Drosophila melanogaster: one gene and its partner. The protein of the gene in region 1 interacts with the protein of each later gene in a pairwise test. Each region holds a gene or a part of one and is shown on either strand. Other genes may lie near its edges.

The links.
Region 2: the proteins of PK2-R2 (region 1) and CG4332 interact in a two-hybrid assay, tested with the Drosophila melanogaster proteins (one large-scale study listed by BioGRID).

The regions. Positions count from the first base shown.
Region 1 is NT_033777.3:13,328,448-13,335,935, reverse strand, and holds PK2-R2 (pyrokinin 2 receptor 2), read left to right. Parts: upstream 1-1,769; 5' UTR 1,770-2,046; intron 2,047-3,097; 5' UTR 3,098-3,192; exon of another isoform or gene 3,193-3,507; 5' UTR 3,508-3,684; coding exon 3,685-4,039; intron 4,040-4,286; coding exon 4,287-4,452; intron 4,453-4,531; coding exon 4,532-4,664; intron 4,665-4,982; coding exon 4,983-5,181; intron 5,182-5,249; coding exon 5,250-5,464; intron 5,465-5,619; coding exon 5,620-5,733; intron 5,734-5,980; coding exon 5,981-6,598; 3' UTR 6,599-6,866; downstream 6,867-7,488.
Region 2 is NC_004354.4:13,153,029-13,157,872, forward strand, and holds CG4332 (uncharacterized protein), read left to right. Parts: upstream 1-2,009; 5' UTR 2,010-2,067; coding exon 2,068-2,961; intron 2,962-3,040; coding exon 3,041-3,835; 3' UTR 3,836-4,344; downstream 4,345-4,844. Other genes in the region: CG4318 (uncharacterized protein), read right to left, coding at 1,122-1,832; Bap60 (brahma associated protein 60kD), read right to left, coding at 4,670-4,825.

The DNA of each region.
Region 1 (7,488 bases):
AATTAAATGGTATAATCGAAATGAAAGAAAAAGAGAACTATAATAATTAAAAAAAAAAAAACCGTTGTTGTATTCTACTGACAGATAACTTTATATTTGCTGTGCCATCCTTTTTTCCTTTTTAGAAATGTAAAATCAGCCAATTCAAAGTGTTTTAAATGTCTGGGCTCATATCCACTATCTTGTCCTGGCAGACAAGTTTCATATTTTATTTATATAAGCCCCAACTCTTATATTATATTGCCTGTACTTAGGTGAAAGTTAGGGAAAGCAGTGCGCGGCAACGGGTTGGTCGAACTGCAAATGACTTTTGGCCTGCCCTCTCTGCGTGCAATAAAACTAAATGAATTGGAAACTTGCACAAAAATTCAACCAAACTGCTGACGAGGATGCCGCCGTCGCCTGATGACAGAGTCCTGGGCAAAAGGCAAAACTTCAAAATGCCAAACAAAACGCCCCGAATCTGATGTCATGCCCAATGTTCATAAAGAGCAAGGCAAACGAAAATCTCCCCCATTTTCCACTTTCTTGGCCATTTTTCTCGGCTTTCGTCAACAATTGGCAGCCAAAGTTTTGACTGGGAATGCCTTTGCAGCACGTGCTCTGTGTTTTCCCTTCCTTTGAATTCATGAGATACTCGATGTAGAAAATGTTGTAGGGTCCCTGACAAAGAAATGCCAACTCCGACCCTAGATTTTATATCCAACAACCACCAGTATTCATTGTTTGTTTAGGACTTTGTTTTGATTAAGTGCCAAAAAATTGTTTCGAATTATTTACATAAAAATTGAGAAATTGAATGCATGCAATGGATTTGATTTGTTTGCCTCGCGATTCGATTTTCCAAGCGTCTCATATACATTCGCTATATTTGTTTGCTCTTAATATATATCGCACCAACGCTGGGATAGGAAAATACACATTTTATGAGCCGCAAAGCTTTGATAGATTTTCCCGCACATAGCCATAAAAGTTAGGCCCCGGGGCACTAATAAAATCTCCCTTTGACTGATCATAAAACCACGGCATCATGTCCAATTTCGTGACTTGATGTCTGGGGCTCAACGGCGTACAAAGTGGTTGCACAAATTAATTTTAAGCAATTCGGATGTTTTCGCTACAGTAATAAAAGTTTTGCAGAGAAAATCGCACCATATAGTGGCAGTTACATCCAATTATGGTGCGCTGCAATGTAAATAAAATGCATTCATGCAGGAACATATGCATAGTATGCATATGCCAAGTTTTTAAATAGCAAAGTTATATTTGTATATAGTCTCAATTTTACAGAAATACCACGTTAAATCGTTTTCTCACTTAAGGGCACCGAGCGTTTCTAATCCGGAAAATTAGGTTCAGTATAATAAATTTCTGTTCTTATTCTTTGAGCGACCACTTCACCTTTTCCGAGCTGCCTTGACTTAAATTGATTGTGGTTGTCGGTTTAGTTGGGTTTTAAGTGGGCGACAAGGTCGGCATTGCATTGTCCTTTGGCTCTGTTAACATAATAATCAAACAATTTGCCGCCATGGGCAAATTAATACGCCACTAAATAAGATAAACTGCATGGCACTCCAGAATTATTTGCATTTTTATTACCCTTTTGCCGGGGGACCCTTCATATAAGGCCGAAAATCAGCAGCGCGCCGCCGCAGAGAACCGAAAAGCAACCGGTAGTTGTTCGCTGCCGACGTCGCTGTTGCGTCGCTGTTAACGGCAACGACCGTGGCCCGAACGGACTTCGTTGCCAAGATATTTTGGCCAAAAACCCAGTCAGTCGGATGCTGCGGCCCGTTGCTGTAGCCGCCGCCGTCGCTCTTTCGGTTCTTACGTTTTCGGATCATTTGACGACGAAATAAAACGAGATATCGGGAAAACCATCAATTTACGCGTGCCCCTCAGTCATAATTTTACGATTCGGAGAATCATTTTACGTACCAGAATTAATCAGTGCCATACGCAAATAGTTAAAGCCATTAATTCTGTGAGCGTGTATATCAAATTAAGCCCAACACGTTGCGGTCATTAATCAACATTTAGCACATGGTAAAAAACTGATTAGCTATATTGCAATAAAACACCTTAAAAACAAAACGAAATCACATCTCAGAGAAAGTGAGTGAAAGAATGGGGGGAGCACAGAGAGTGCAATGCTCGCAAATGCGAAGGCAGAGTGACAAAATCAAAACAGTTCAAAGCCATAAAAAATAAATGCATTCTGAAAAATGTGGCAGGCATCGTTTGATAAATTTAAATTAAACGTGTTTTAAATGCACAAACGATAGCCAGCCGAGTGTCGAGATATATAATTAATTGCCATTAGGCGGAATGAAAAGTTCCGAACAGGAGCACCGAAACAGTTGTAAACAAGTTGAAAATAAATAAGGCATTATCGGGGGCCTCAAGATCTACAGATTGCCAGTGAAATCCATTGACCCGAAACACTAATGGTGCAGAATCTATAATAACATATTATGCCTCAATGCGAACCGGCTTGCCAAGCGCAAAATATGGAAAATAATAGTAAACCAAATACAAAACTCACACTTTATGGACATGGGCGGGTGCATGGGCATAATTTTTTTCGGTGGGATGCCACACGGTCGATCATCGGAATCATCGGACAACGAAACGAAAACAGAAAAATGAATAAATGAAAACCAGTTTTATCGAATATACAATATAATAAAACCTAATTCGACAGCATTCTTTTGGTTGTGCATATATTGTAGAAACTTTTTTATGATAATGATAATGAAAACGTCCAAAAACGGTCAACAGCGGTCAGCAGCAACAATAACGAAAAGTATAGCCAGAATGTGAACAGAACAGAGCAGAACAGCAGCAGCCGAAAACACTCATCATCTGAATGGAATGAAACTATGTTAATGTTATTAAGTCACCCGGTGTCCATTTGCCATCGTCGTCTCCTTATCCGTCTTATCCACCACCTGACCTTGAGCTTCTGGCTCGTTTCATTCGTTTGCCACCTGGTGTTGGGTGGGAGACGGATCGGCAGGCCTGTCCTTCTCAGCCTTGTAGCAACATCCTTAAATTCATCCAGTGTACACAAATATTTTGACTAAATGCCACTTAGCAATTCAAATTAATTTTCAGCTTCCACTCGCCCTGATCCTGGTCTTTCGCCTAGGACACGCCTGACTGCCGCCTGCCAGTTTCCCAGGATGCCAGGTAAACACACAGGACACAAACACGCTTTAAGACGGGCTCTCTAAGGTGGACCTTAGCAAGCTAAACAAAGCGCACAGCTTACCAACCAAATTGTGTATATGTATAATTTATGGTAATTTAGAAATCTGGAGTAAAAAGCCTTAATGTTTGAATTTGTTTTATTACTAAATTCGTTAAAATGCGTTATTTGTCTTGTATTATTTTATTTAAATTTTAACAAATTTTGAAAAACATAGTTTTATTTAAATAGCACATAGGGTCCACCTTATCACACACATCCGTACACATAATTTAATCCCACACTCATGACAACAGATTGCAAGTGGAGTGGCTCTGGCCTAAGTCGAAATTGATGAGCCCCCGTAAGGGGCGTTATGAAAACATTATTTGCAAGCGAAAGCTTCGATTGAGAATACATACGCAGAAGTCTGAAATTTCCAAAGAAATTCGAAAATAATAGTGCGTATACACACACACAAAGACACACACCCTATGGCAGTCAAAATGCTGCCCACTAACAGTTCCGGTGTCCTGGCAACCGATCTACAACTGTTTCACAATGAGAAATTTCTCTTAAATCTGACACAAGTGCTGAACATCTCCGCGGACAACCTGACCAGCCTTCTCCAGGGCCTGGAGCCGGAGGAGCTTTTGCCCACGGTGACCCCGATGACACCACTTTCACTGCTGGCCACCCTAAGCGTGGGCTACGCCCTCATATTTATCGCCGGCGTTTTGGGCAACCTCATCACATGCATTGTCATTTCGCGGAACAACTTTATGCACACGGCCACCAACTTTTATCTGTTTAACCTCGCTATATCCGACATGATTTTGTTATGCTCAGGTGAGTGCAAAACTAAAATGTTCATGGTTTTTGAATTATAATTTAATTCAGTTCAGTAGTGCAAACAATAAATGGAACTGAGGCATATTAAATTAAAATTTGTAAATAAACAAGAAAATGTAGAGTGAGATATTCGGCAGATGCTCAAATCGATTTGCATTTTGAGGCTATAGGCTATAATTTCAGCTATTATTAAATATTTATAATCACACTATATATTTTGCTATTTTGCTATTTATGTTCTTAGGAATGCCGCAGGACCTCTATAACCTCTGGCACCCGGATAATTATCCTTTCAGTGACAGCATCTGCATATTGGAGAGCGTTCTCTCGGAAACGGCGGCCAATGCGACAGTTCTAACCATTACCGCGTTCACAGTCGAACGATATATTGCCATTTGTCATCCGTTCAGGTAAGGGAACCTTCATTCCTTCCACTGCCCATTTCCATTTTGCCCCAAACTTGCTTAATTGGTTCTGCTTTCGATACAGGCAGCACACGATGTCCAAGTTGTCACGGGCCGTAAAGTTCATATTTGCCATCTGGATAGCTGCCCTTTTGCTGGCCCTGCCCCAAGCCATTCAGTTCTCCGTGGTGATGCAGGGCATGGGAACATCGTGCACGGTGCGTATGATTGATGCGAGACCCTTAATCGTATGTCCCCCAGTTATGAGTTACCTGGTTAATTGATTCGTAGAACCGGTCCTTTGATCCTTTGATTCATTATGTGTTTTCCGTATAGAAAGTTCGAATAGAGAGCCTTTGTGAATTACAAAAAATTTAAGAGCATGATAAAAACAGCGACAATCCCTTACGAGGTTCGACTCAGTTTAGGCAATCAAATTTACAGCCATTGCCTTCCGGCTGTGGCTGTAAGCCAAAACCATATCGTATCGCATGCGAATACACATATATATTATTTTTGTGAAATGCCTGCTGTAGATGAAAAACGACTTTTTTGCCCATGTGTTTGCTGTGTCGGGCTTCCTGTTCTTTGGCGGACCCATGACGGCCATCTGCGTGCTCTATGTCCTCATCGGGGTGAAGTTGAAACGGAGCCGACTCCTGCAGGCGCTTCCCAGGCGATGTTACGATGTAAACCGGGGGATAAGCGCCCAAACGCGAGTCATCCGGATGCTGGGTAAGCAGGATATGAAATATCCGAAATAACTCATGGTTGCATCAGGCGCCCTTATCCAACTTTCCCAGTGGCGGTGGCCGTGGCCTTCTTCATCTGCTGGGCCCCCTTTCACGCCCAGCGGCTGATGGCGGTCTATGGATCCACCTCGGGCATTGAGTCCCAGTGGTTCAACGACGTGTTCAGCATCCTCGACTATACGTCCGGTGTTCTCTACTTCCTCTCAACTTGCATCAACCCGCTGCTCTACAACATCATGAGCCACAAGTTTCGTGAGGCTTTTAAGGTGAGTTTCGCTGCCGGATATTCATTTCTATAGCTTGCGTTAGGAAATTGAAAATAAGCTTCAGGTTACAAGTTTATTAATCGATTCTTTAACGGTCAATTTAGTGATTTTAAACTTCAAGCTAGAATTAAAAAACGTATTTAATCCCATTTTAGGTAACTTTGGCTAGACACTTTGGACTTGGTGGCAAAAATCAGGGAAGGGGGCTTCCTCATACTTACAGCGCTCTTCGACGTAATCAAACGGGTTCACTGCGGCTGCACACAACGGTGAGTGCACTGAGAAAAATTACATAATTATCATTCGATATATGCACTTAAATTCTATTATGTGGCATTATTTAAGAGGAAAATGAAAAGGATTAATATAGTGTATGTCCTGTTTCTCAAAATGAAATTTGAATCACGAGACTTTTTAAAACCACTATAAGATGTTTATTGCGTTACTTATTTTCGTGTCTGGCGACTGCACTTTCCCTTTCTGATTATCCCTCCATTCCTTGATTTCCTCCTGCAGGACAGCGTTCGCACCACAATGACTTCCATGGCGACGACCACCACTGGGCTAAATGGCTCTGCCAATGGCAGTGGCAATGGAACGACAACGGGTCAGTCGGTGCGCCTGAACCGCGTGTCCTTGGACAGTGTCCAGATGCAGGGTCAGAATCGCAGCCGGCAAGACCTCTTCGATAATCCGCGTCGCATGCTCCAGACGCAAATATCGCAGCTGTCATCGGTGGGCGATGCCCATTCCCTCTTGGAGGAGGATTTGCAGTTTCCCGGGGAGCCACTGCAGCGCCAGCCCACGATGTGCTCCATTGACGAGCTCACAGATGACTTGGCCATCTCGCGGTCACGCCTTAAACTTACGCGCATCACCCGCCCACCAGGAGGTGTGACGGGGGGCGTGGCAGGAGGCAGCACAACAGGGGCCGCGGGGTCGGGGGGCGTGAGCGGTGACGAGTCGAGTGGCAAAGTGCGCAAGGCGAAAGTGAAAGTGCTCAAGAGCTCAAGCCCGTTCAAGGGTCTCAGGACCAAATTCAATTGGCGTGCCAGACGCAAAGGCAGCCACAAACCGCACGAAAAGGGGGCGACGGTGAATGGAGGCGACACTGAAGAGCGGGCCGCCTTTTAAAGGGGGTCAGCATATCCTCTATCTGTACTCGATAAGCGAGGTAGTCCATTCCAGTGCCACCTACGTACATTACACACACACACAACTGTGATACGAGCAGCAAGCGCCACTCCAGCTTGTTTGTGTTTTAATTTAGACAAATATTCCGCGTTTGGGGTCAATTATATGGTTGTCCTTACCAATAACCGTAATATAGCCCAAAGCTATAGTTCGAATTATAGTTATAGTGCACGTAATCGAATAAACTATGTAGTTATGTACTCAGTTCAAAAATTCGACCGTTGTTTCATTTATAAAGTGGAGTTTAATAAAAAAAGAATGGACTTTTGATAAAAATAAAATGAATCTACATAGTTAAGCGTAAATAGTATTTGGAGTACAGTGATATATAAATACATATTAAGGTTGATACCCTAATGGTTTTATTATACAATTTAAATATAAAAGCGATCTCAGTTTTTTAAACAGCTGACCGACTTTGTTAGCAGTCCAATAGAAACTGTTATCTAATGTCAGTTTTTCAATATCCATTAATAACATTTCTCTTGCAGTAAATATTTTTTTCCCATTTAATGAATACATTTTTTTTTTTTGAAAGAGTGTGGATCAAGTGGGGATTATCAAGAAGAGGGTTCAATGGGCGTCTGGCTAATTACTGTCAGTAAAAAGCGGGCACTGCATCATAATCCCTGGCCATTAAGATGTTTATCTGGCGCACAAATTCGCTTTTTGGTCTGGAGTCTAGACAGTGGATGAAAGCCATTCTCGCGATTGGCCAACATTCGCTGAAAGCCGCTGTTGGTGACTAATTAGCAGCATGCCATAACGCAGTGTCCCAGTGCATTTTGTTTTAATTTCAGCAAATGCAATTTGTCAGGCAAACATAACGT
Region 2 (4,844 bases), on another chromosome or scaffold:
TATCAAACAATGCCCACATATTTATAGCATCGACTCATCTGCACCCTCGACTCTTTCGGATCGTTATCTATACATGTACTTATTACTCTGCACCACATTTTTCACTCACAATGTGTTCCAGTTATAAAAGTTAAAAAAAAAAAACAAACAAACAAATCAAAATCGAGGAAAACATGACGTGCAACTTGAAGCGTGCAAATCAATTCAACCTATTTTTATCATATTTTTGTTTCATGATGTGTACATTTTAGTCCTTTAATTTATTCCAAAGGTTTGGAAATTTCGCGCGTGACGAAGAGAGAGAGTTATACATAGTACTTCATAGTTATAATTATATAAAACTCTAGTACCTAATTTTATGAAATCATGTTGTATATACTATATGCTGTATATTGTTATACATAAACCTTTAAATAAAAACTGCTACCAAATACAGTGTCCCAGCGTTTAGTATTTATTCCAACGATCATATATCGGATTGACAAAAAATGAGTATAATCGTTGTGAGGTTCTTTGGAGGTGTTCGCTTTTCGAAGTTCCCTATACTTTGGTAACACGTTGCATTAGTCTTTTAACATCATGGTCGTTCTTCTTGGTTTGGCATTAATTATGGTGTGCATGGTCTTGTGGTTCTTAAGGGCAGAGTTTCTGTTGAAGATCTTGGGGCATCGGGGACACTTGTAGGATCGCATTAATTATGGTGCATGGTCTTGTGGTTCTTAAGGGCAGAGTTTCTGTTGAAGATCTTGGGGCATCGGGGACACTTGTAGGATCGCATTAATTATGGTGCATGGTCTTGTGGTTCTTAAGGGCAGAGTTTCTGTTGAAGATCTTGGGGCATCGGGGACACTTGTAGGATCGCATTAATTATGGTGCATGGTCTCGTGGTTCTTAAGGGCTGAGTTTCTGTTGAAGATCTTGGGGCATCGGGGACACTTGTAGGATCGCATTAATTATGGTGCATGGTCTTGTGGTTCTTAAGGGCAGAGTTTCTGTTGAAGATCTTGGGGCATCGGGGACACTTGTAGGATCGCATTAATTATGGTGCATGGTCTTGTGGTTCTTAAGGGCAGAGTTTCTGTTGAAGATCTTGGGGCATCGGGGACACTTGTAGGATCGCATTAATTATGGTGCATGGTCTCGTGGTTCTTAAGGGCAGAGTTTCTGTTGAAGATCTTGGGGCATCGGGAACACTTGTAGGATCGTAATTCAGGTCTCGAACTATGTACGCGCTCATGGCGCCTAAGACCGCGGATTTGTGCGTAGGACTGGGAGCATTGTAAGCATTTGTAAGGTTTTTCACGCGCATGGACCCACATGTGACACTTAAGGTGCGCAGGTAACATGAAATACTTCCCGCAAATGTTACATTTATGTGTCTTCTTCAGCATTTTCTTCTTGGTATCCTTCTGGGCGCTGCTCTGGCTCACATTGCCATTCCCGTTGGAGTTTGAGTTGGGGCACATATTCTCCACGTTGTCCCCCGGTGAATCGATTGTCAAGTCAATTGTCTCCATCTCCTGGCTGCCATCGACTGGCTCAATCAGTTCAACATCGGAGTCATTCGATCCTTCTTCCTCATAATTCATCTCACTGACCACCATCTCATCCTGCTCAATCACCTGCACGCTGTCCATCCCGTAAGCAGTCTGCGCATCCAGCGCACAAGACTGGCAAATGGTCTTGGGAAAAGGATCCTTCGGTAGAACCGGGAAGCCGCACCAATCGGAAATCATGGTCGCTAGGGAAACGCCGGGTAGCGGCATCGTTTCGAAGATGCATAGCATGTTCTCCATCTCCCTCAAACAGACACGGCACATCCTGGAATCCATTGCTTTTAGTTAAATTTAATTTTTTGACATGTATCACGTTGGGATGGGAATGATAGTTTGGAAACACGTGCTAGGAACGACCGTTAGGGACAATAAAAACCGATAGTTTTTGAAGCTTTAGATCATCGATACTGCCGGAACTATCGATAGCTTCTTTTAATGTTTTGCCGGCTCTAGTGCCAATACCAATAAAACGCCGGCCAACGCACCAACGAGAAAACCGTAAGAGGAGGACATGGCCCTGCCCTCGATCTCCACGCTTCTAGGCGTTGCATTTCTGGCGTACATCGGCCACTCCATCTACCAGATGTCGCAGCTCTTCACTACGCTGCAATGCAGCGGTGTGCCGTGCTACACATCATTCCTGGCGGACAGGCCACGCCTGCAACTGGCATTGTTTTCCTCCCTCAGCAGAAGTCCCATTGCCACCGAGGTGCGGGATCTGTACAAGGCCAAGAGGTTCGACTATGATCAAAACTTTGAGCACGACTTCGAAGTGGATGTGCCGCTGAGGACGCGCCGGAATGGCTCCCTGTATCTTCATGTGGTCTTGGCCTTGGAGGGTGAGCCACTGGAATGGCGTAGCCTGCGCAGAGATGGGCCCACCGTTGTCCATACGATGAGTCTCACGGATTACATAGTGCCGCGGGCGGAGGCCTTTAAACTGCTTGGAGATTCCGAGAAAGGTGCAGCAGCCGCTGTCCAGGAGAAAGAAAAGAAGAAAGCCTCCACCACTGGACGTCCCAGCACCCACATCCGATCGAATGTTTACGTCACCCTGCTCAACGATCTCTATTCCGTTTCGCAAGCGGATGTCCCACCTGAAATGGCCCCCTTGATACGTGTCAATCGCAATCAACAGATCTTGCCCATCCTGCAGACTGATACATTTAATACGCGGCTAAAGGATCTAGTGCCCGTCACCCGCAATACCACCGAATTCACATTCAGCTTCCACTACAAGCCCGTGGGCGTGGGCAAGCTCCGTCTAATGCTGCTCATGGAACACGCCACCCAGGCGCTGCTCACCATTGGATTTGCTACCAAGGATATTGACGAGGTGAAAGGCATCTTTTCGGACACCAATGTATACCTTTTGTGTGGCACCATCTTTGTGTCCAGCATCCATGTGAGTAGAGATTGAAAAATTGCAACATACGTCATATGCTCCAGTCCTATAACTAATTTATGTTTCCCTTTTCCCGCAGATGCTCTTCGACTTTTTAAGCTTTAAGAACGACGTGGCCTTTTGGCGCAAAAAGCAGTCGTACGAGGGGCTATCAAGCCGCACCACAATGTGGCGAGCGTTTTCGCAGATCGTGATCTTTTTTTATCTGCTAGATGAGAATACGTCGTATCTGGTACTTGTGCCAGTTGGCCTGGGCACGCTCATTGAGCTGTGGAAGTGCAAGAAAATCTTCCGTCTGGAGCTTAGCTTCAGTGGCCTGGTTCGTCGCAAGCTGGAGCAAGTTGACCGGCGGAATGGTGACCAAGCTGGCGTGAAGTCAGGTCAGCTGGCGGAGGAGCAGAAGACTGATCAGTTTGACAGACAGGGCATGCGATATCTGAGCTATCTGCTGTATCCGCTTTGTATATGCGGAGCGGTCTATTCGCTCCTCTACCAACCACACCGCTCCTGGTACTCATGGACACTTAACTCACTGGTGAACGGAGTTTACGCCTTCGGTTTCCTGTTCATGTTGCCGCAACTGTTTGTAAACTACAAGCTGAAGTCTGTGGCCGCATTGCCGTGGCGCGCATTTATGTATAAAGCATTTAATACCTTCATCGACGACTTCTTCGCCTTCATCATCACCATGCCCACGGCCCATCGGGTGGCCTGCCTGCGCGATGATATTGTGTTTATTATCTATCTGTATCAGCGCTGGCTGTATCCGGTTGACAAGAGTCGGCTGGACACGGGTCTGTCCATTAGCGAGACCCCGGATACGGGCAACAGCTCATCCGCTTCCATTGCTGCCAATCGCAAGAAGCGAAATTGATCCTATATCAGCAAAAGGAGTAAAGGTTGCACATTCCGCCTATAGCTTGAGGTCTAGCCCGAGACGTAGTAATCCGAGTCCGTCTTTAGTTTACTAGTGATATTAATCCTGTGTTGTAGTCTAAACCGTTTAAAGCTTGTGCGTAAATCGTTAAGTTAAGAAGCATCAACTGAAAATGCGTTTTATACAATTTTAAATCAACAGCATCAAAGGATTGCAGAACTATGGAACTTACTAAAACACATAATTTTAAAGTATAAATTATGAAATATTGTGAGATGACTCAAACGCTGGCCTTTCACATTGTTAGATTGGTCAGCTAAAACCCTACAATAATATATCCAAATGTAGATCAAAACGTATTTTAGAAACAATCAGTTAACATGAAATCGTATAGGATCGTAAGGCTACAAGTGATTCTAAAATCTCAATTAACCAACAAATGCATTTTCTAAAATTTAAAGGGAACCCAAAAGTATCAAAAGGCTAAATATATATAAAGTCAACTGAAATCACTCGTAATAAAAATTAAACTTTAGTGTTTCTAAAAGTGAACCGAATCAAATTTTATAGACAGTTTTATATTTGTATGCCATTTTATTAGCTTACAGTTAAGTCCAATATTTGTGCTGGATGTGGGTATTTGGGACAACTGCAAAGGGGATTTTCGTTTTGGAACGGGATGGAGTTCGGCTTGTCGGAAAAAAAGGAAATATTTTAAGCTTAAACTAAACTGGCGAAGGAAAAAGAGTTTGCCGTGCGCACGGTTTATGGAGGTCTCTTGACGGTGGACTCCACGAATTGGCTGGTGGAGATGATCAGCTCATCATTCACCTAGCCGTTGCGTATGCCCAGCGCCTGCTCCAATTCGGCCCGCTTCTGGTTGACCTTGGTGAAGAAGTAGCGCGAAACGGCCTCGTGCGTCCATGGCTGGTAATAGAACTCCGCCCGACGCTCCTCCTCCGGATTGCCAGCTACATCGGTCATCAGCTGAAAGGACGAAAGGTTT